Linked DNA regions of Schizosaccharomyces pombe. The protein of the gene in region 2 purifies or fractionates together with the protein of the main gene of each other region. This does not show direct contact. Each region holds a gene or a part of one and is shown on either strand. Other genes may lie near its edges. The genes, in order: med15, med13, srb11 and med7.

Region 1 (5,919 bases), on a different chromosome or scaffold from region 2:
AGCTCAATAAATTATCGGGAGTTTTGAAATATTAATTTGTTTTCTCATGTTAGATGGTAATTCGAGATAGCTATTTGGCGGTTAGGTTAAACCAAAGCTCTTGAACCAAAGCAAAAACATAAACTGATAGCTACTTTTAGAATATTTGAGATAGTAAACATTAAAAACTATACAAATATTCATTTAAGAGATTACAAATTAATTTTCAACACCAACCGGTGCACTAATAATAAATTAACTAAAATCAACTTAAACGTATGAATAAATAAAATTTGTAACGGTCCTCATTATACCGACATTTTCATGTTCACAATGAGTCTCATAGACAGGTCATTAATCGGGAAAAAGCCATACTTTCTGGCATTGTGCCTAATAAAGGTACAACCGGATCTTCAAAATATTAAATTCAGGTTCTATTTTTATCATTGTATATAAACACAAGGACTATACAAACCTTTTCCCAATCACAATTTTCAACATAACAGATGCTTTCAAAAAATGGAGAAACGTTGAATAAACAGAGAAACAATATATGTCTATGGTATTCATAAGATATTGTAGAAGGACAAATATGTCCAATTTGCTTTTTGAGACGACGTGCAATAAATAAATAAAAAACAATTGCGAACCATCGTATCACAAAATTTTAAATCACAACTTGCCATATGTTTGTAGATGTTGGAAATGCGATGTTGTCTTCATCTTCGTTACCCACTTGAAGCTGCTTTAGCAAAACTTTCTTTTCATGAAGCATTTCATTCCATGGATCTTTATCGTCGATCGCTGGATCTAGAAAACATGATTCATCAAAATTAATTTGAGTAAGCTTATTTTGCATTTTAGTCTTATCTTTATCTGCATCCAAAGCAAGATTCATGGTATCTGGTTCCTTTAAAAATCCGATTTCAGAGTTGATTTCATTACCTAAATCAGCCCAAAGCTCCGAATCATCATTAAATGAAAATTTTCCGTCCAATGACAAAATATTAGATGGACTAAGTGAGTTTTTGTTATCTGTAAATGATAAATCTGGAGTTGACGGAGGAATGAAAAACGACTGAGGTGTTTTCAAAATAGAACTAGGAGTCTGTGATGATTTGATAGCAGAAACTTCTTCTTCATGGTCTACAGCCACAAATGCATCGATTGCGTACTTCAAAGGATTAGCAATTGCTTCTTCCCGAGCTTTAGCCATTCCTTCCTCTTTGGCTATAGTACCTGGAGAAACACTAGAAGGTATTTCATCTACACTTGACATTATAACATCAGGAGTATTTACGACTGAATCCTTAGGTTTTTGAACTGTCGATAAGTTTTCTATCTTTTTCTTCTTAGAAGGCGGTAACTTGAGATCTTCTGGTTTTAAACCATGTTTCATGACTTGTGATGCAATCTTCTGTTTGGCTTGCAAATCCGGCTGAGATACATCCAAGGATTGGAATGCAAGTTTACTGTCAACAGGAAAAGATGTGTTACCAACAGAATTTGCTTTGGCTGCAGGTTGGGCTTGCCCAGGAACACTGGGTTGCGCATTAGGAATTGATCCATTGATAGGACGTACATTGGATGATACAGAAGGAGCTTGAGGAAACTGGGAAGCCTGTTGTTGCTGCTGTGACTGTGGCTGTGGCTGCTGCTGTTGATTAATAGATGCAGTACGGAGCGAGGAGATATGGGCAAGAGCATTTTGAATACTCATATTATTGTTATTTACTTCATGGTGAAGTCTTAACAGTTGAGCTTTCACAAAGGCAAAATAGCGACTGGTTTTCTCCTTAATCTTGGCCAATGTTTGCGGAGCACAAGTAAAAACACCTTGCTGAAGACCTTCAAGTTGTAATTTAAATATATGACGCATTTGTATCAATTGAATCGTGGCTTCCTCATTGCCTGTCAAACAGTAAAACAGGCAAATCAGTTGATTTGTACGGCTAAACATAGGATATGCAGATTTGATAAGACTCGCAATCATAACCTTTTGATCATGAGGCAAATCAAGAGGCACTGGCCGCATCAAACTATGCATTACTCTTTCGGTGAGTTCTCGAATACGCGAAGTCATCTTTTGTTGTCCCATAGTTCCTCCACACTCAAGCAGTTGCTGAACGATAGAAGCACTACTATTTCCAGCCGCTAAGTTTGTAGGCCTTGAAGCAGCGGTGTTTCTTGCACCACTAAGAGGAACTGAAAGTGCTTCATTCCCCGCCTTCGTAAAAGCTGAAGGAGGACTTGCAGAACTTCTAAATGTAGACGATGTATCAAGATTAGGAGGTAGATTATTTGAATAGTCGACCTGAGATACAGGCGGCTGAGTGGGTTGAGTAGCGTTGCGAGCCTTATTTGTCAAATAGCTTTGATAATTAGTTTTGGCGGCATTAGCTGAAAGCTTTGTATTGATCGGTTGTTGGCCATTTTGTGAAGTAACAGAAGCACTTGTAGGATTAGAAGTACGGTGCAACTGCTGTTGTTGTTGTTGCTGTTGCTGAGCAAATGCTTGCTGCGAGAACGCTTGGGGGTTGCCCGTATTATCAGGTTGTGGATTCCCCAGTTTATTGGTATTAGGGGCATTTTGCGAGTTCATTCGAGCATTCTGTATTTTATTAAGCTGTTGCTGTCGGTGCTGCAAAATAATTTGTAGGTGCTTTCTATATAGCATACCTATTAGCTTCAATTGTTCCGGAGGTAAACGCTGAGATTGTCCTAATTCTAACACATCTCTCCATATTTTGACATTTGGAGGTAAATTAGGAATTTGATCGAACAATTGCTTAGGAACCGGGATATTTAGCATCTCAATATTTATACGGTTATTATTCGTAGCATTCACATTAGGATTATTTGGAGGAGCAGCAGTTCGCTGAGGTTGCTGTTGCTGAGTAGAAGGTTGGTCTTGTGGAGACATACTTTGAAGAGACTGGGCACCAACGTTACCTTGAGGGTTTGGAAAAAAAGCATTTTGCGGAGCTTGCTTTTGTTGTTGTTGTTGTTGTTGTTGTTGTTGTTGTTGTTGTTGTTGTTGTTGTTGTTGTTGTTGTTGTTGTTGTTGTTGTTGTTGCTGCTGTTGTTGCTGCATATGCTGCAATGAACGAAATTTTTGAATCTGGTTTTGATATATTGAAATAAGTCTCGCAGGTGGCATCGATTGTAATTTTTGCATAGGAATTGGTGGATTGCCATTCCTTGCAAGCAAAGCTGTAATTTGATTACATAAATTATTTAACTGTTGTTGGGTCAATGCAGGAACTATTCGACCAGGAACACTACCAGATCTTTGTTGGTTTGCTTCTGTATTGGGAGCTGTTGGTGATGAAGCTTGCGGTTGTTGTGTTTGTTGAGGTTGTTGCGACTGCTGCTGTTGCTGCTGCCTTTGTTGCTGGATTTGAGATTGTTGAAGTAAAAATTGCCTTTGTTGTGGGGTCAACTTCATATTTCTAGCAAACTGTTGCATTCCTGCTTGCATTGGAACATTTTGGTTTTGAAGTCTCGGCATTACTCTGGGATTATTTGCCAACCTGTTAGGTCCGGCAGTAGGGAGAGCTCCAACATTACCCGCATTGTTATACACAGAAGGCATTTGTTTCATTTGGGTTGCCTGCAATGTGTCACGTATTTGATCTCTCAATTGTGCTGTCTTCTTGCCACATGTAGTTAAGTATTCATTCTATTACTGGTAAGTACAAAATTAATTGAATTTTTTTTTTCAATACCTTGCTACTGGCACCATCAAAAGCCTGACGCTCAAATGACAAAGCCATATTCATGAGTTGGACTTCGGAAATTGAGGGAGAGATAATTCGTAAAGTTTGAGCACTAAATACAAAAGTTAGATGAAGGGTTTTAAAAAATGATGGCATACATTTGCAAGGCAATGCTCTGTCTCTCATTAGGACGAATTTGTGCTTGCCATCCCTTATCAACATTCCGGTTCATCCCTCCAAATATATGATCTATAAGACGTTAGTGAATTATTGTACATTACTAAAAAGCGTACCAGTTATTTCTGATAATTTTGCAAATATATTTATTGCAACGCTGATGGTCGGTGGAAGACGAACTTAAGTTACCGTACACCATATATCAGCGCTGATCGTCACAAGGTAACCAATACAGTGGTTTGCTCACAGCTATCGATGATAAGCTAAATCACGGTCGCTGATACATGAGAACACGTTAAAATTCATTATTTAGTATAAATCTAAGATAGAAATAATCTAAAGCAACAGCATACTTGTTTATCAGAGGCTGGTAGATTATGCCAGTCTTTAACCTTATCCTACTTCAATATTTGTGTACCACAATTTCGTTAATATATATTATATAATAGCTAAATGTAAGTGTAGAGGATATTAAACCACCAAAATAACTTTTCAAGTATAGTTTAAAGGCGTAACGTTTCATTAATAATAAAAACAATAAACTGGACTGAAAATAGATATCAACAGAAACAAATGGTTTTTGCTCTTAGATTACTGGGGAGCGAAAAACTCTCCTTTTCTAAGCGATAGTTGTAAACGTTATTATAATCATCATAATGCTAACTTCCTGGCTCTAAATAAAAGATATAAACTGTTGAATATATATCAAAAATAGTTGAATCCTTGCTTGCCATGAAGAAAACCAAAATTTTTTTCTCATAAATGTTCGATAATGCAGTTATTTACGCACATACCTCAGCCAGCTTTTTTAATTCAGAGGATCCGCGATCCTCCATAGTGCCCAATACGTTTCGAACAGCACTTTGTAACTGTTGTCGATGCGAGGCTGATATATTTTCGTGAGTCAAGAGTTTGCAAATAAAAGACGGACCATAAGTTTGTTCGAAAAGTATTTTCTCTAAAGAGTTTGGATTGAGATCATTTTGCGTATCCAAAATAGCATCAACGACTAAATCACCACAAGCAGTATCACCTTGTGATATGGAAATTATTTTAAGAAGGGAATTATAAGCTAGTCGATGAGTGCAAACTCTAACAATGTCTTGAACAAATCTCCGGGTTAAAAGAATAGGAATATGAGGATAGTTCATATTTTCAACAAGATAAGTTAACAGTAGCGTACCATTACCGTTCATAGCTAAGTGTACGGAATAGACTGTTATAGCAGCAGCAACAAGTACACGTTGTTCTTCAGTCACATCAGGACTCTCTAAACAGGCGCGGACGGCACGTGATCCATAACGGCTTTGAGCAATTACCCAAAACTGGTTGAGAATGGCTTCAAAAACAAAATCGTTCATTGGAGCACCAAATTTCAAGCATGTTTGCACAACATAGTTGCCAAATTGATCAGCAAAAAGTAGTGGAATGTAGGGCTGCAAGTGTTTAGCAATAAGGCGCATTTGTGCCTCAGTTGATGCCACGTCAACAATCTTTTGAGCAGCCCATGTACCGTTTTTGTGAATACCAATTTGGGCCAAATGAGGAGCGATGCGTTCAAGCATCATTTCCTTTACGGGGTCTGAACAATAATCGAATAGCTTTTGTACAACGGTGTTACCAAGATGATCGCTCGATAAGTCTGATACTTCATCAAGCCAATTAATGGCAATGTCTTCAACTTCTTCCTGAGTGCAAAGACCATTATCAATACGCTTACGAACTTGACGAAGTTTGGGTGCATTTAATCGACGACTGCTGAACGCTTTTGAAATAGACGGAATCTGAGCAGCAAAGTCAGTCAATTCACAAGCAGCGTTAAGAATCTGATAGATTTTAGATAAATCCTTAAATCCGAATGACTGAACAACGTTAATCAAATCGTCGTAAACCTCACGTAAAGAGGGGACGAACGAGACGTTCGAAAAGGCTTTATTTAAGCCGTCAACGGCAGAGTGGGAAGACTCAGAAGAAGATGAAGCAACTTTAGCAAAGCTGATACAAACTGGATCGGAACCAAAAAATATCCTTTTGCCATTGAGCT
Region 2 (5,664 bases):
CATAGTCAAATACATGACTGTTTTCGTTTTGTAATCTTCATTTTCGCCCGGGTAAGGATTAGAAAACGTTATTAAAGGGAAGCGGGAGAAAATGGAATGAAAATAACTCGAAAATTTTGTTAGACCGCCCATCCTTTTCACTTGTCACTAAGTTTGCTAATTCTAAAGAGTTTACACCAATACCATCAATAGTGTGCTTAGCGAAATTGTTAGATTAAGTGGTAAAGCGTGCAATTTCTTCAAATTTCTACCTATATTGTAGTAGGAGAAAATATTCTGTTGTTTCTACTATACCAAGCATTAATTCTGCATACACACTTTTCTATTTTGCGTTGGATTTTCACATCCTCTAATAATCGATAAACTCGACAAAAGATTGTATTTATTTTATTTGACATAAATCATAATATGGATTTGTCTTTATTTTCAGATATCAAGGATGTCGTCGAGAGGGACATGAAAAAAAATTCAAAAGTTGTGGAAAATTCTTCTGCTAGATCACTAAAAAACAAAACAGAGGAAAACAAAACTATTGATAAACATAAAAGTTCCGTTGGTCCTAAGGAACCCAAATCATCATTGGAAAAGCCTAAAGCGAATCGGAAAAGAAAGCAATCGTATGGTTTACTCCATGATATTAAAGAACTCGGAGGTACCGAAGAGGATCTGGAGCTGATTGAAGATGTAGAAAGCGATGAAGAGTTGGAATTCGAAGAACCCAATCGTAAACAACCCAAGAAGGATGGGACTGATGCTGTAAGTCAATATCGATGTTTCTTAATTACTTCTTTCAAAAGGTTCTAATATCCTCTGTTTTAGTTTGCAAATGAGTTGAATTTGTTCGCCAAAAAATTGGGCTTTTCTAAAAACAGCTTTGATGCTCGTGCTCTAGACACTGAGTCAGAAGATGAAACCGAAATCGAAAAAAGTTCGTCTGAAAATTCTGATTCAGTTGATGTCGATTCGGATGATGAGTAAAAAACGCTTGACAACTAGTTTATTTATTTAAAAATTTTCCTTCTTATTATAACTTTATAAGCAATGAGTGTATCTGTTAAAACTGATTGGGGAATCCCAATTTCTCTGTAATCTTCTCGTTCACTTTTCAGATGCCATCACTCATGAGTTGTTTAAACCATCATTCAAGAGGAGTCTTAAGGGAATGTAATGTTTAACTAACATTATACTGAGGGATAGGTTCATACATATTACCTGAAGGAGTTGCAATTGTGTTGGACCTTTATTGCTACACTTTCATTCATTTTAATTATTTGTAAAGTAAGGATAGGAATTTAAGGCGGAGCATTCTTTTTTTATTAAAATAGCGGTCATTACGGGATTAATATAAACATTATATGTCAGTATATATTTCCTTCATCAATTTCGAAGCATTTATGCTTATTTGCATACTAAACCGTTAGTTTAATGTTTGTTTATTTTATTATTAACAGTAAAAGTATCAGGTGTGTTTTAAGAAATATGTTAAAATGAGACAGTGGCCGCATGTGCTTTCTTTACGCGTGTACGCTAGCTACTTCCTCTTATATAATAATCTGCCATTATCCTCTGCCATGGTACATGATGGAGTTCATCTAATTAGTATTAAAACAATTGTAATTATTTCTATTATAACATGATAAATTAAAAGCTAACTGATCAGCCTTGCCCTAACACTATATATTATGCGAAGTATCAGGTTCAGCGAAAGGACAATGAGGATGCTGCTTCCCTCTTAGAAGACAAAGAAGCTTATCTACGAAATCAGGATTGCATTGTTCACGCGAAGAATGACTTACTTTTTGTATATGATTTTCAAGCCATTCCATCTATTCCTGAGGAATCATCTTCTTTTATGCTACTTAATTCAGGTGCATTTTCCAGATTAGCTCTTTTTCAAAAAGATGAATTAGCTCTTCTATTAGACCTGTATATAAACTTTCTTCAAGGATTGAAAAAAACGGTGTTGTATTGGCTGTGCAAAGAATACAACTTTGTTCCAATTTATGGTGTCCTTCTTCCTTTAAAATTACACCCTTCTTTCGATACCCAGCTCTGGAACATATATGGATATCCTGTTGTGGATTTACAGCTTTCTGTCTTATCGAAAGGCCATATAGAATTTTACTTAAAGCCTACAAGGCAGACGGTATATCGTTTGTCGGAAGTGGATAATTTGGTTAAAAAGTTAGACACTGTCATTCGTTTAGCCCCGACTGGTTGTTTGGCAACATTAACCTCTGTGCATGCCAACGCATCTGCTCAAACTGTTGATGCATTGAAACACCGCTATGGATTCTCTCTTACGACTACTTCAAAGTGGGTGGGTGTTACCTTAGAATCTTCGGCATTAGAATTTTCCTGGCCTTTAGAACTTTGCTTTTTGGAAACGTCGGCCCTTCGAATGAATGATGATTCATTATCTAGCAACCTTACAGATTTGAATAACCTAGTCCTCCCTTCAAACGTCGTAAACAATAAAAAGGAATTAACTGAGTTCGCAAATGAAGAAGCGGAAGCTTCAGATAAAAGAAAAGAAGGTTTTACAGAAAAGGAAGAGACTGCTGATGCCGTTGTAACCTTGGTTCCTTCTCATAGTTCTTCTCCCGTTAATTATTCGATAAATTCTGCAAAATCTACACCTGCTTCAATAAAAGTAAATGAAGAGATACTTGTTGCTGATCATAATGTTTCAGATGACATACTAATGGAGGAAATAGACGATGTTGGAATAACAGAGGCTGATTTTGATTACTTTGACTTACCTAACGTTGAAGAAAAAGTTGAGATGATTGAGCCTAATTTTGCAAATACTATGACAACCTTAGATAATGAGGAAATCAACACTTCCATCTCTCAATCAAACACCAGTCCAAATTTGAATACTCACGAAAATATTCCAAAGCAAATGGAAATTCAATCGGATGATAGAATGGTAACCGAAGATTTAAATCCATACAACGTCGAAGTTGATATTCCTGAAATTTCTTTAAATATTTCAGATTCTAAAATCCCTACATCTGCGTATATGCCTTCATACTATTCTGCGGTAATTTTTCCCTCGTCTATCTCCAGTATTTTTCAGAAGTATAACTATGGTGGTAAATATTGGTGCCCTTCTCCTTCTTTGTCAACTGAAGATTTATTTGAATCATTTTCGGTCGCTGAATCGGTAACTAGTACAGATGAAGACATCTGCTCTACAAACTTTATACAACAAGATTTTACAATGGAGTATAATCACGATTTTTTTTCATCTTCTAAAACACCCACTAATATCTCAGAACAAAGTAACCCCGATTCAAATTATGATACGCTATCGTTAGCACATCAGGTTCTTATGAATGAATCCAAGTCAGCAAATTTTGATTTCAGTTTTTTAAAATCGTTAGATTTACAACCCACTATTACCTTGGGAAAAAATGACTTGTTAAACGCTATTTTGTCTCAAAACTTATGGTTTAGATCGTTACCTTTTTGGAAAAGCATGACTACCAGTTTCATGATGTCTCAAGATGTTTTAAACTTTTCTTCGTACATGCGGAAGCCTATTAGGGATTATTTAGAGAAAATATTGTTAGGTGAAAGTTCGGCTGTTTTCTTGAGCAAAAGCCCAGAAAATTATCTGTCCTCGATTAATAACGGGCATCACGCATTAAATGACAATCCTCCATCCCAAGTTAACTTTTCTGAAACGTTGGTAAACTTCTCCCAACCTCCTCGTGTTTTGCTCAAATACAACGAAAAAAAGTTGTCTTTAGATTCTTCGGCACCAGAGAATTGGATATCTTTATGTCTTCAACCGTATGGTGAGAGCAAAGATTTTGAAGTTTTTTTGCTCTCTTCCAAATCTCCCGACGTAAGCAGCAAGGCTATCAGCTTTTTTTATGATGTTCAGCTGGCTTATGAAAACTGCAAACTTGGAAAACTGAATTTATCTGAAACTTCTATTAACGAAAGAGTGATGGGATTCAGTACAAATATTAATGAAACAGATAATTATGATGATAATGAAACAACTCAAAGCGATACAGCAACCTCTTATGAACAACTAGCGAGTGTTTGTGTTAATGAATTAAGCGGAAAAAACGTACTTTTTTTTTATTTTTTAGAAGATGATTCCGAAAAACTTTTAAAGGCTTGTCAACATTTTATATGCGTAAAGGACTCAATCAAGAGACTTGGGGATAATAAATTTGAAGATAAATCATTACGAATATGCACGATTCCGAATTCTATTTTTGATTCACCCAACTCGCATACTACAAATTCGAACTCTTTTTTTACAAAAGTTTCACTCGACATTTATAATAATGATCCTTTATTGATGGATGGTTCATTAAAGAGACGTGAACCGGCTTTTCTCCTGAAAAAGCCCTTGTTATCAACTCTTAACTATCAGCTTAAAGATATTAATCCCAGATCTTCAGCTTTGGGAGAGTATGCGCTACATGTAACGTATACAACTGTCGAAGAGCACTTGCTTATTTGCAATTGGAATGATTCCTATGGAGAATTTGAAACTGAGAGACGCTATTTTCTCCAAGACCTTGAAATTGAAGATGCTTTACAGCAAATTTTAGAAGTCACATTTACGTTCCTTAACTCAATGCACATGGATTGGATAGTAATCGTCATGAAGATTGGTGAGATGTCTGACGCAGAGTATCTGTTTTGGGATCAAGCAATAATACCTGAAAACTTACAAGGCAATGTTTCTCTTACAGTTGGTTACTGCTCAGCAGAGCACGGACCTGGCTCAACTTCGAAAGTGTTTTCAAGGATTCCATATTCGGCTTCAAGCACAGTTATTCGTAATAATAGTAGTCATGAGCTCTCTTTGGTTGCGTTTATCCGAGAAATGGCAATGCCTGTGCCGAACGATGAATTTAAGAAAATTTCTACAATCTTAGCTAGAGGATACTTAGCATTAGACGAGGACGAATCTTATTTACCACTGTTAAGCATTCATCTTTTGATATCTCGAAATCATGATCCTTATTTAATGTTAAATCTTATTTTAAAACATTATTTAAGTATGATTTATTTACAGTTTCGAACGTATGTTTCTTTTTCTTCACTCCCATTACACATTTCTACCGTTTTATACCAGAAGCAACTATTGCAGTTTATGGCATCAGACATTACACATCCTGTGACCTCTTAGTTTTTGGGGTATTATTAATTTATACAGTATAAGTTTATAATGCGCTTGTGCCAAAATTGGTTTACTCTTGTTATCGTTTTTGTTTACTAGATTGGGAAGGTTGACATAGTGAAAACACAGTGTTTGTTTACTGTCGACTATTTCATATTCCGCCATTTTTAACCATGAAATTAGCCAACGCAAAACATAATGAAGAAACATAAGTCCTCAATTAAGTGTTTTAAGATTGACCAAATATCTCAACAACCTGAAACCGATTTGGTTTTTACTAAAAGGTCGGAATGCAAAGTAAAAGATGAGCTATTTTCAGATAAGGAAAACTCAATCTTATGTAAACAGTTGAAGGAATTAGATTTAGTTGTTTCTTCAAACAAAGAGTTTCTAAACGAAAAGACATCGGATCAAATTTCGTTTTTGAAACCAAGAGAAACAGTAGTTGAAAAAAAATTAGCAAATGGGAGTATTTGGCCTAATGAAACTTCCCATTTAGATAAATCTAG
Region 3 (4,117 bases), on a different chromosome or scaffold from region 2:
TTAACAATATTGTAGAATTTCAACAAATGAGCCATTCACAGATGCTTACGTTGAATACATGAGAGCTTCGCTCATCCAATTACTCAATATAACAAATGGACTTCCTCTTATTGAACAAGGTATAAACAGTATTATTTTCTAAAAAAATATTCTATTACTAAATTCAATTCTAATAATACTGAAATTAGAATGCACTTGGACGCTTCGGGTAACGCTAAAAGATGGTTTTCCCAGACCAAAACAATGGGAAGAGTGGTTTCTTCCGCCGCAAGCGAGAGAAACAGACGCAACAAGGCAATTTAAGGGCATCACCATTCCTGTTCGAAATGTGGATATTGGACCAATGATGACGGAAATTTGGGTCGAGAAATATACAAATTCGGATTAGAGGTATCTCTAATTTTCTTTTCAGAATGTAGTGCAAGAAAAATGGGTATCTGCTATGAAATAAGAGGGGATTAGGTAAAGTAAATAAAGAATCAGTTTTGCGATAAAGGATTATCATTATCAATGAAAGAATTATTAATTTTGAAGTAAAGGTCCCTACCAATAAGAATTATAAATAGTTAGAAAATGTGCCTTACTCTAGGCCCAACCATTTTTTGCAATTCTCATATACCAGATATGAAATAGCGACACTAGGTGCTACCTTCAACAAATTAGGAGACAATCCTTTATAAAGCCCACGGAAACCTTCATTTTTTGTAGTTTTGTAAAAGCAGTCTATAAATCCATCGTATGTTGCAGGATGTGCAGACGTACCTTGCGTTTGTAAACGAGTACGTATGACATTAAGTGGAAACACTATGGTAGCGCCAGTGCTTCCAGAAAGTGCTCCAAATGCCATCACTAAACCATTAGGAAGTTTCACATCTTGTGGATCGACATTGTCACGACTTGCTAAGATACCTATCCATGTCCTCTTAAGGCCCTCAAATGTTCCCAAATCTGTTGCACTGTATGGAAACATACCCAGTATGCCCACGAGCACGCCTCTGTAATAACCCCGTATCCCAACGCTTTTATAAAGTTCCTTTGCGTTGGACAAAATAATGCTTTTTCCATGCTGACCACGAGATAAATCGCTGCACTGAATGCGAAATTTCAGAGTATCTACCGGATATATAAACATTTGAGCAACTGAACCAGCCATGCCACCGGCTAAGTAAGAATAAAGAGGACTATGATTTTCAGAGCTTGAAGATATTCCAAGTACTCGTTTCATCGCTTCATATGTACCAAATTTTATGGAGGATTCAGGCATCACCTTTAAAACATTAATGCCATTTCCCACAAAGAAGCTACGTATCCCATTACGGTTCCATAAAACTTTAGTGGTATGTAGCAAAGTAGCAAAAGGATACTTCGGGGAAGGTTTAGAACCAGTGTCTGAAATCAACATGACTTTTAGCCGATCTAATGGCGCTGTACAGGTACGAGAGACGATTCCAGCAATCCCTCCGCTAATGAAATAACCAACGTTATTTTTAGGGTCATTCTCTAGTAACAGATCACCGTCAGGTAAATTCTGTAAACGATGAAAGACGAGTTTCATATGCGGAGTATCATGAATCCAACTTGCAGGAATTATTGAATCATGTTGATGATGCGGATGTGGGTGCAATTTCCAATAGCCATGTCGAAATTGATGCTCAAATTTCTGTTTATGAATGAAGTTTAAATTATCTAAAGCAGTTTTCTAATGGTTAAAGAAAATCCTTTTACATTAAACATACCAATTCCGGACCTTGAAGAAGAGATTGGCAATTTATTTCTTCTTTTGGGGAAAAAACAAATCGCGATTCTGGAAGCCTTGAAACCCGTAAATTATTTTTAAACAAACTATAATCACATGGAAGTACGCTTTGTATAGTGATATCAGATAATTCAGTTGGCATCCTTCATGCCGGTAATGAGTGTACCGGGGTAAAGAGAAATAGGTGAGTCCTCACAGGTCAATGTATCTGACCATACCAGCAGCCCATGAAAATTTATCGTAAATAGTAAAATCTGTGACACTGTTTTTTATTATCTCTTATGATATTTAAGGGTCAATCAGCTTAAAATATCGTGTGATATATGGCAGCAAATTACTGGGCCTCTAGTCAATTGTAAGGTTATCAATTTTAATTTTAAAGGTTTTACGAGAAGGTAATTGGCCTTTAATTCATTCCTATTCTTCTTTAAAATGTCTTAATTGAGTTTTGAATATCTGCTTTTCTATTTTATTACTGCTGAACATATTCTTGACAAATTGAGGCTTGCGAGTGAGCTGATCTACGTCTAATTACTGATCAGAGGAATAGCTTTTCTGTCTACTTCTAGTCACGAGTATCGACTAAACTGGATGTATCTTGTTTGAGTCATTTTGCGCAAATGTCTTGCAATCACAGTTTATTTCGGCTTCTCATTCGTTTCGTTGACTTTAATTTAAAGCGATTTTAGCCTCTTTGTTAGTTTTTGTTTAAAATATCTTCGAACCTTTATTATTCCTTAGTATACTTTTTCAAGCTGACCTTACAGAACACAATTATTCTTATCCACAGATTTGGAATCTTTGGAACCAACTTGCTTATCTAAAGATACAATATATCAATGGAAAGGTATATTTTCATTAATTTTTTTCGGCTTATTCTAGCTTGTGATTTCATTTACACTTCGTTTTGCTGATACAATTCTAGTTGTACAAACGTTTGGAGACAGGCTCAGGCTTCGGCAGCGTGTCTTAGCTACAGCCATCGTTTTATTAAGGCGTTACATGCTAAAAAAAAATGAGGAAAAGGGTTTTTCTTTGGAGGCGCTAGTGGCTACATGCATTTATTTATCATGCAAAGTGGAAGAATGCCCTGTTCACATTCGCACAATTTGCAATGAGGCTAATGATCTCTGGAGCCTAAAAGTTAAACTTAGTCGTTCTAATATTTCCGAAATAGAATTTGAAATCATTTCAGTCCTTGATGCATTTCTCATTGTTCACCATCCCTACACTTCTCTTGAGCAAGCATTTCATGATGGCATTATCAATCAAAAGCAGCTTGAGTTTGCTTGGTATGTATACTTCTTATATTGAAAATCACAGTCGATTAGATTTTTCTAACGATCGAGGAAATAGGAGCATTGTTAACGATTCATATGCCAGCAGTTTATGTTTAATGGCACATCCTCATCAACTTGCGTATGCCGCTTTATTAATAAGTTGTTGCAATGATGAAAATACAATTCCTAAGCTTTTGGATTTAATAAAGAGTACTGATGCCTTCAAAGTTATATTATGTGTTCAACGCATAATTTCTATTTATTATTTTGAGGATATTGAATAACTTCTTGAATACACTATACATTTAGAGCCTCAAATTTTGTTAAAAACGAAAACTATAATTAGATTTTTCTTTATTGCTGATTAATGCCTGAAATTATGTTTTGTTGTCTGGTTTAAAACCGTGTATTATATACGCATTCTCGTTCATGGTGTTATGTCTAAATGAATAAATAGAGCAGTATCTGTGTAATAATATCCAAAATCGAATGGTTATGTCACAAACGTAAAGGATATATTAATGCTTTATCTATGAACCTCAAAAATTATTCCTTAATCACCTCATAGAAATACTCACGTTGTTATAAAATAGCTCATTCTTGTAGCTTCCTGTGTTAATTGAGTTGAACATTCCCCTATTAGGTATTTCTGAAAGGATATTTTTGATTTCAGCAAATTTGGTCCGGCAATTATATAATGAAATTCATAAAGTAAAAACCCTTAAATCTTAAATCTTAAATAAAATAAGCCGTGTCAAGTTTTTAAAACCTAGTTTTGACATAATACAGTGCAATCAACAAATTGAATCGAGAAAGTAAATCAAGCAATTTACGAATGGGGACACCAATATCCCATATTCTATTCTTGATATTTTGCCAACAAAGAAGATAAAGTTTTCACATCAGCGCCGACGATTCTGTCCAATTCTTGACCCTTACGAAACAATACCATGGTAGGCAAGGCATAAACACCGTTCTTTTGAGCAATATCAGAAAATTTATCTGCATTAACAGCAATAAAAGATGCTTTCTGATTTTGTTCGCTTAATTTTTCAAGAAACGGTTTGAGGTATTTGCAAGG
Region 4 (5,519 bases), on a different chromosome or scaffold from region 2:
AGAAAGTTGGTGGTATCGTGTTGGAAGTGCTTGCACCATTGCTTGAGTTTTAATTGTAGTTGAAGTCGCGCGCCCTTTGTATGGGCCATAAAATATAGCCTTTGATTTACTGAAAGGTTATCTCGAAAACGATCAAAATACATCTAATTACCCTATACAAATGAGCACTTAATTCTTGGCATCTGAGAATATCTGGGGTTGATTGTCATGAATATTTCTTTGACCAATTTAAAAACACCCATGCCAATACAGCAAGAATTCTCTTTTTGTTTCACACTTTATTTAATAGTTGATGTTTGCAACTTTTAATATTTATTTTTCTTGATGGTTTTTTGTTTATTACTTTTTCACTGTGAAGATATTTTAATAGTATAATCCAAAATAATTTTGGTTTTCGTTATCTGCTGATGAAGTAGATTTTGGCATTATAGAGAAATTAATTTTCTGCTCTTACTAGTTCACATTTCATATTCACTAGTTTAAGAATACAAGTTTCAATTGACGAAGTGGTCTCTGTCTTTTTCTTACTTAGGCATTGGTTAAAGTAAATTTATAACCCCTTTTGTAATATTGCTAACATATGTGGAAAGGCACCTTTACTCCTCTATACTTGATCTTCAATTGATTTGCTTGGTGGGTTAGGTGAATACTACATATGAAGCATGGAGGCACAATAAATTATCGTTTGATTTTTCATGCGCGTTAACTAATTAATATGGAAATTACAAAATAATAAATCTGATGGTCTTCTCAAGGTGGAGCATTTGTAGAGCACTACTTAGTGTTGGTTCCTCACTGTCCATTCACCACAACAGGTAGAAATTTTTTGGCGAGCTTAAGATTATCGAATATGGAGGATTATGGTTCATATAGTACACCATTGACAGCAAGATATGCTTCTGCTGAAATGTCTCATCTCTTTTCAAGAGAAATGCGTATTAATACTTGGAGACAATTGTGGTTGAATCTCGCCATTGCTGAAAAGCAACTCGGTTTAACTCAAATTACTGATGAAGCTATTGAGCAACTTAAAGCGCATGTCAAAATTACAGCTCCAGAATTTGAAATCGCTGCTAAGGAAGAGAAGCGTCAGAGACACGATGTTATGGCTCACATCTATACATATGGTCTTGCTGCTCCTGCTGCTTCTGGTATTATTCATTTGGGTGCTACTAGCTGTTTTGTAACCGATAATGCTGACTTGATTTTCTTACGCAGCGCCATGGATCTTTTGATCCCTAAGTTAGTCAACGTTATCAATCGTCTTAGCCAGTGGTCTTTGCGATACAAAGACATTCCTACTCTTGGGTTTACACATTATCAACCAGCTCAATTAACTACCGTTGGTAAGCGTGCCACTCTTTGGATTCAAGAGCTTTTATGGGATTTGAGAAATTTTGTAAGAGCTAGAAATGACATTGGTTTCCGTGGTGTCAAGGGTACCACCGGCACTCAGGCTTCCTTCTTAGCCCTTTTTGAGGGCGATCATGCCAAGGTTGAGGAATTGGATAAATTGGTTGCCAAGCTTTCCGGTTTTGATAACGTTTATCCTGTAACCGGCCAAACCTATGATCGTAAGATCGATATTGACGTTTTGCAACCATTAGCTTCTTTCGGTGCTACTGCTCATAAGATTGCAACTGATATCCGTCTCCTTGCTAATTTGAAAGAAGTAGAAGAGCCATTTGAGGCTGGTCAAATTGGCAGTTCTGCTATGGCTTACAAGCGTAATCCAATGCGTTGTGAACGTATTTGTTCTCAAGCTCGTTATATTATGAACTTGATTCCTAATGCTCTTAATACTGCTTCTGTTCAATGGTTTGAGCGTACTTTGGATGATAGCTCTAACCGTCGTTCTCTGTTACCTGAAGCCTTCTTGTTTACAGATAGCGTTCTTAAGATTCTATTGAACGTTATTTCTGGTATGGTCATTTATCCTAAGGTTATTCAAAAACACATTCGTGCTGAATTGCCCTTCATGGCCACTGAAAACATTATCATGGCTATGACTAAGCACGGTGCTAGTCGTCATGAGTGTCACGAGCAGATTCGTGTCTTGTCTCATCAAGCTGGCCGAGTAGTCAAGGAAGAGGGAGGGGATAACGACTTAATTGAGCGTATTAAGAATACTCCTTATTTTGCTCCTATTTATGATGAGCTAGATTCTTTGTTGGATGCATCCACTTTTGTTGGACGTGCTCCCGAGCAGACTGAATCCTTTGTAAATAAGGACGTCTCTCAAGCGCTTGCGCCTTTCAAGAGCATGATCACTGAGGAAAAGGTTGATCTTGCCGTTTAAATATAAATTTTGGTTTGCTTCGTAGTGGATACGAACTTTTTTGATTTGTTTAAAATAGAAAGAATACATTTTTTTCATCGTTAGTATGAATTTTTGTTTGTAAAACAAATATTAAAAGCAGAGGAAATAGCAAAATAACTCTACTAGATAAACCGGTTTATTAGCTAAGATCTCGTTTTATCACGTCTTCCATTAATTCAAGCGATTTTTTTAATTTCTCGTCATTTTTTGAGAACATAGACCTAGACTTTTGCTCATCTTCAGCGCCTGACAATGGCTTTTTTATTGACGACTTTAATTGTTGAATCACATCTCCTTCCTTCTCCATATTAAAATCTAATGATTTGTACTTTTCCAAAGTTTCGGTCATTTGCCGGTTATGAGTACGTAATAGCTCAACCTGCGACTCTTCATGTTTTAATTGTTTTTCTAAAAGCATAATTAAAGATTCACGAGATTGGTGTGGACGATAGTCATTAATTAAATGATGGAGATTGAGCAGCAACACCCTAATGTTTTCAACCTTAGAAGGAAACTGTTCGGGTGCCTTCGCCATAATCCCTAGGAGTTCAAGAAAGTTAAGCATAAGTGAGCGGGATAAAAATCGTAGTTCATAAGCTCGCCGGGGAATTTTTATCAAATCACTCGTTTCTCCATCCTTTGATTTTTGATCTGCCCGGAAACCTTCGTTTACCGAAGAAGCTGAAACAGCTCCAGTATCTTGAGAATCTAAAGGTTCCTTCATTTGTATATCCTCCTCTTCCTTTTTAAGAGAGGGCTCAGTCTTTTCCTCGACATCTTTCATTGTCTTATCAGATTCATTATCTTTTTCTTTCATGGCCGTATGTTGATCATCCTCCAGAATTTTTTCATTTTCAATTGGTGAATTTTTATCATAATCGTGTACACGAGTAAAACTAGTACCAACTATCGCATTGGATTTAGGATCATATTCTACCACTTCAATTTCATCTTCTCCATCTTTTATATCTTTATATAATTCAGGGATTCCAAATTCTTTGAGTGAAGGTATAGCTTCGTCTAGCTATAAGCGATATAAGTTAGTGAGAGATGAAAAGCAGCTAATGTAAAACAATAAAAATAAACTTACCCTCCATGTGTCACCAAACATTTGATAAGTCCCAGATGTGAGACATGACGGCTTCTTAAACAGCTTGGCCAGCGACTCTATTTCTTCTTCAGTCTTAGGTTGTAAAGTATTCGCGTCATCCTCATGTTTTGCTTCTTTCTCCATATTTGAAATTACTTTTTCTATGTTTTCTCTTGTAAATAACTTATAATATGGAGGTGGAGGCGGAAAAGCCGAAAACAGTTGTACTCCTTCGTTTGGTTCCATTCTCTTTTAGTTAAATAGTATTTATCGTAAACTAGATTTTAGATTGATGTAACTGTCTTCCCTTTTATCGCTGATTCTTAGTATAAAAATGCCTGCTCTTTTTTTTTCTTTTTTTTTTTAGAAAAGCAGTTTCTATAATGTTAAGAAAACCGTAATTGAACAACGATATGACGCTCAATAACTGATTGACATGAAAATCCTGAATATAAAAACACTTGAAAATAACCGATCTTTTGCTCAAAATGGATTTTGGAATAGTCAGTAAAAGTGGGTAGTTTTATCTGGCATATGGAATACGAAGTGAAAGCTTCTATCACCAATAAATTTTGCTATAAATTGTTTATTTCGATATCTTTAATCATTCTTGGTTTTAAATTAGTTTCACTGATTAAAGTAGCTTAAAATTATACACTTCTTGGCTTTTTTAATTTTTAGAGAATTGCAGTGTTTCTTTTAACAACACTGAATTATTCTTTTTAATAAATGGGCTTGGAAACGAATTAAGTAGGAGTTTATTACTTGTAATATTACAGCTTATCGCTATTGTTGAATGCCATAAAATCCTTAACATGAATATTTTACTAGGCCAACATAATCGTAAAATTTAAATTGATTAAGTGATAAAGTATTTTGATATTCCTCTATACGAAGGATTAGTTAGTATTGAATGGATTACAAAATCAACACATGCAATACTACGAACTTTTACATTTTCATAAATTTGTCACATAACCGTAGTAAACATATTTGTTATAACTGTTTCTTTTTAGTAATTAACTAATTTATCCATTGCTAGTGATTGTCTGCAAATTTTCGCTGCTACGGTTTGATACAGTCATCAGATACATCAAAGAAATTCAACGATAATTGATATTTGTTCAATTTTGTAAAGAAAATTAAATAAATAGCACCATATCATGATAATACCAGTTACGATAAATTGGATAAGATGCCTGGCAATATAACAATAACAAACCAATTGTTCAAACGATGACTTTTTGTAATTTCCTGCAACTAAACTAACAGTTTCGTAGCAATTAAAACAAAAACATCATTCAAATAATATACATTCACAATGCTCTATATTACTTCAGATGTCCTCGCTCCAGTTTTCCAAAGAGAAGGATAATCTGAAAAATAGTAGATGACTAGACTTTTATTTTTCGGCAGACTCAGAAATGGCTGGAGGAGCAGATTCGCCAAAGTTGTGCAGTCTCGTACCAACTAAGTATAAATCATCACGTATTCCTTGCGACCATTTACTACTAGTTTCTACAAAACGGCGCCCCAAGAGTGCTAGCCCAAGTAATGCTAAAAATATAGGATGCATCAACCGATACATAAGGGTTTTAGATGCAGAAGGGAAAATGGATGAAAGAAAAGGATAGGTTACGTAAGTAAAAACACTTGGCAACACAACGGCGGCTATTAAGGCTGATGTAAAAGGGATGAGAACATTTTTTAATAATGGAAGAATTTGAGGATTCGTCCATCTATCACGAAAAGCATCTTGAAACAACCTTGAAACGAAACGCTCTTCATTAGAAGTCACAGTAAAATATATCATACGAAGCATAAAAAGACCAATCACCCAGTTTTGGAATGCATCGAGAGCAAGAGTCCCTCTGTTAAATATCGTTCGGAAAGGTATAGCGACGTATAATTCCCATATAGCTCCAAGTAAGAGTGGTAAGATAAATATTCCAAGGAATGCTAATAAAAGATATTTTAACGCCATTACTAAGCTCCTCATAACAATTTTTAAATTTAGTTTATTCATAAGGCTTCGTAAATAGTCAAGTTTCAGAAACTTAACAGACGCGTGAATTGCATACATTGGAAAAGAAATAGAGTAAAATCCAA

What was found.
Region 1: the proteins of med13 (region 2) and med15 purify together in Schizosaccharomyces pombe (affinity purification with western blotting; one study listed by BioGRID). This does not show direct contact.
Region 3: the proteins of med13 (region 2) and srb11 purify together in Schizosaccharomyces pombe (affinity purification with western blotting; 2 studies listed by BioGRID, with this or other methods). This does not show direct contact.
Region 4: the proteins of med13 (region 2) and med7 purify together in Schizosaccharomyces pombe (affinity purification with western blotting; 2 studies listed by BioGRID, with this or other methods). This does not show direct contact.

What each region holds. Positions count from the first base shown.
Region 1 is NC_003423.3:994,808-1,000,726, reverse strand, and holds med15 (mediator complex subunit Med15), read right to left. Parts: upstream 4,045-5,919; 5' UTR 3,931-4,044; coding exon 3,857-3,930; exon of another isoform or gene 3,811-3,856; coding exon 3,708-3,810; exon of another isoform or gene 3,662-3,707; coding exon 647-3,661; 3' UTR 552-646; downstream 1-551. Other genes in the region: pumilio family RNA-binding protein Puf2, read right to left, coding at 4,658-5,919.
Region 2 is NC_003424.3:3,094,575-3,100,238, reverse strand, and holds med13 (mediator complex subunit Med13), read left to right. Parts: upstream 1-1,571; coding exon 1,572-1,613; intron 1,614-1,648; coding exon 1,649-5,164; downstream 5,165-5,664. Other genes in the region: mtx2 (metaxin 1), read right to left, coding at 1-132; protein Noc12, read left to right, coding at 409-756, 820-978; protein mug74, read left to right, coding at 5,354-5,664. UniProt on the Schizosaccharomyces pombe protein: Component of the srb8-11 complex. The srb8-11 complex is a regulatory module of the Mediator complex which is itself involved in regulation of basal and activated RNA polymerase II-dependent transcription.
Region 3 is NC_003423.3:2,314,089-2,318,205, forward strand, and holds srb11 (cyclin CycC-like Srb mediator subunit Srb11), read left to right. Parts: upstream 1-1,966; 5' UTR 1,967-2,079; coding exon 2,080-2,111; intron 2,112-2,523; coding exon 2,524-2,603; intron 2,604-2,681; coding exon 2,682-3,048; intron 3,049-3,112; coding exon 3,113-3,320; 3' UTR 3,321-3,566; downstream 3,567-4,117. Other genes in the region: DNA polymerase zeta Rev7, read left to right, coding at 16-119, 189-388; SPOM_SPBC12D12.05C (calcium-binding subfamily carrier protein), read right to left, coding at 581-1,699, 1,737-1,898; thioredoxin Trx2, read right to left, coding at 3,896-4,117.
Region 4 is NC_003423.3:4,170,779-4,176,297, reverse strand, and holds med7 (mediator complex subunit Med7), read right to left. Parts: upstream 3,939-5,519; 5' UTR 3,657-3,938; coding exon 3,411-3,656; exon of another isoform or gene 3,345-3,410; coding exon 2,460-3,344; 3' UTR 2,300-2,459; coding exon of another isoform or gene 851-2,299; 3' UTR 510-850; downstream 1-509. Other genes in the region: SPOM_SPBC14F5.10C (ubiquitin-protein ligase E3), read left to right, coding at 1-46; adenylosuccinate lyase Ade8, read left to right, coding at 851-2,299; ubiquitin ligase Doa10, read right to left, coding at 4,813-5,519.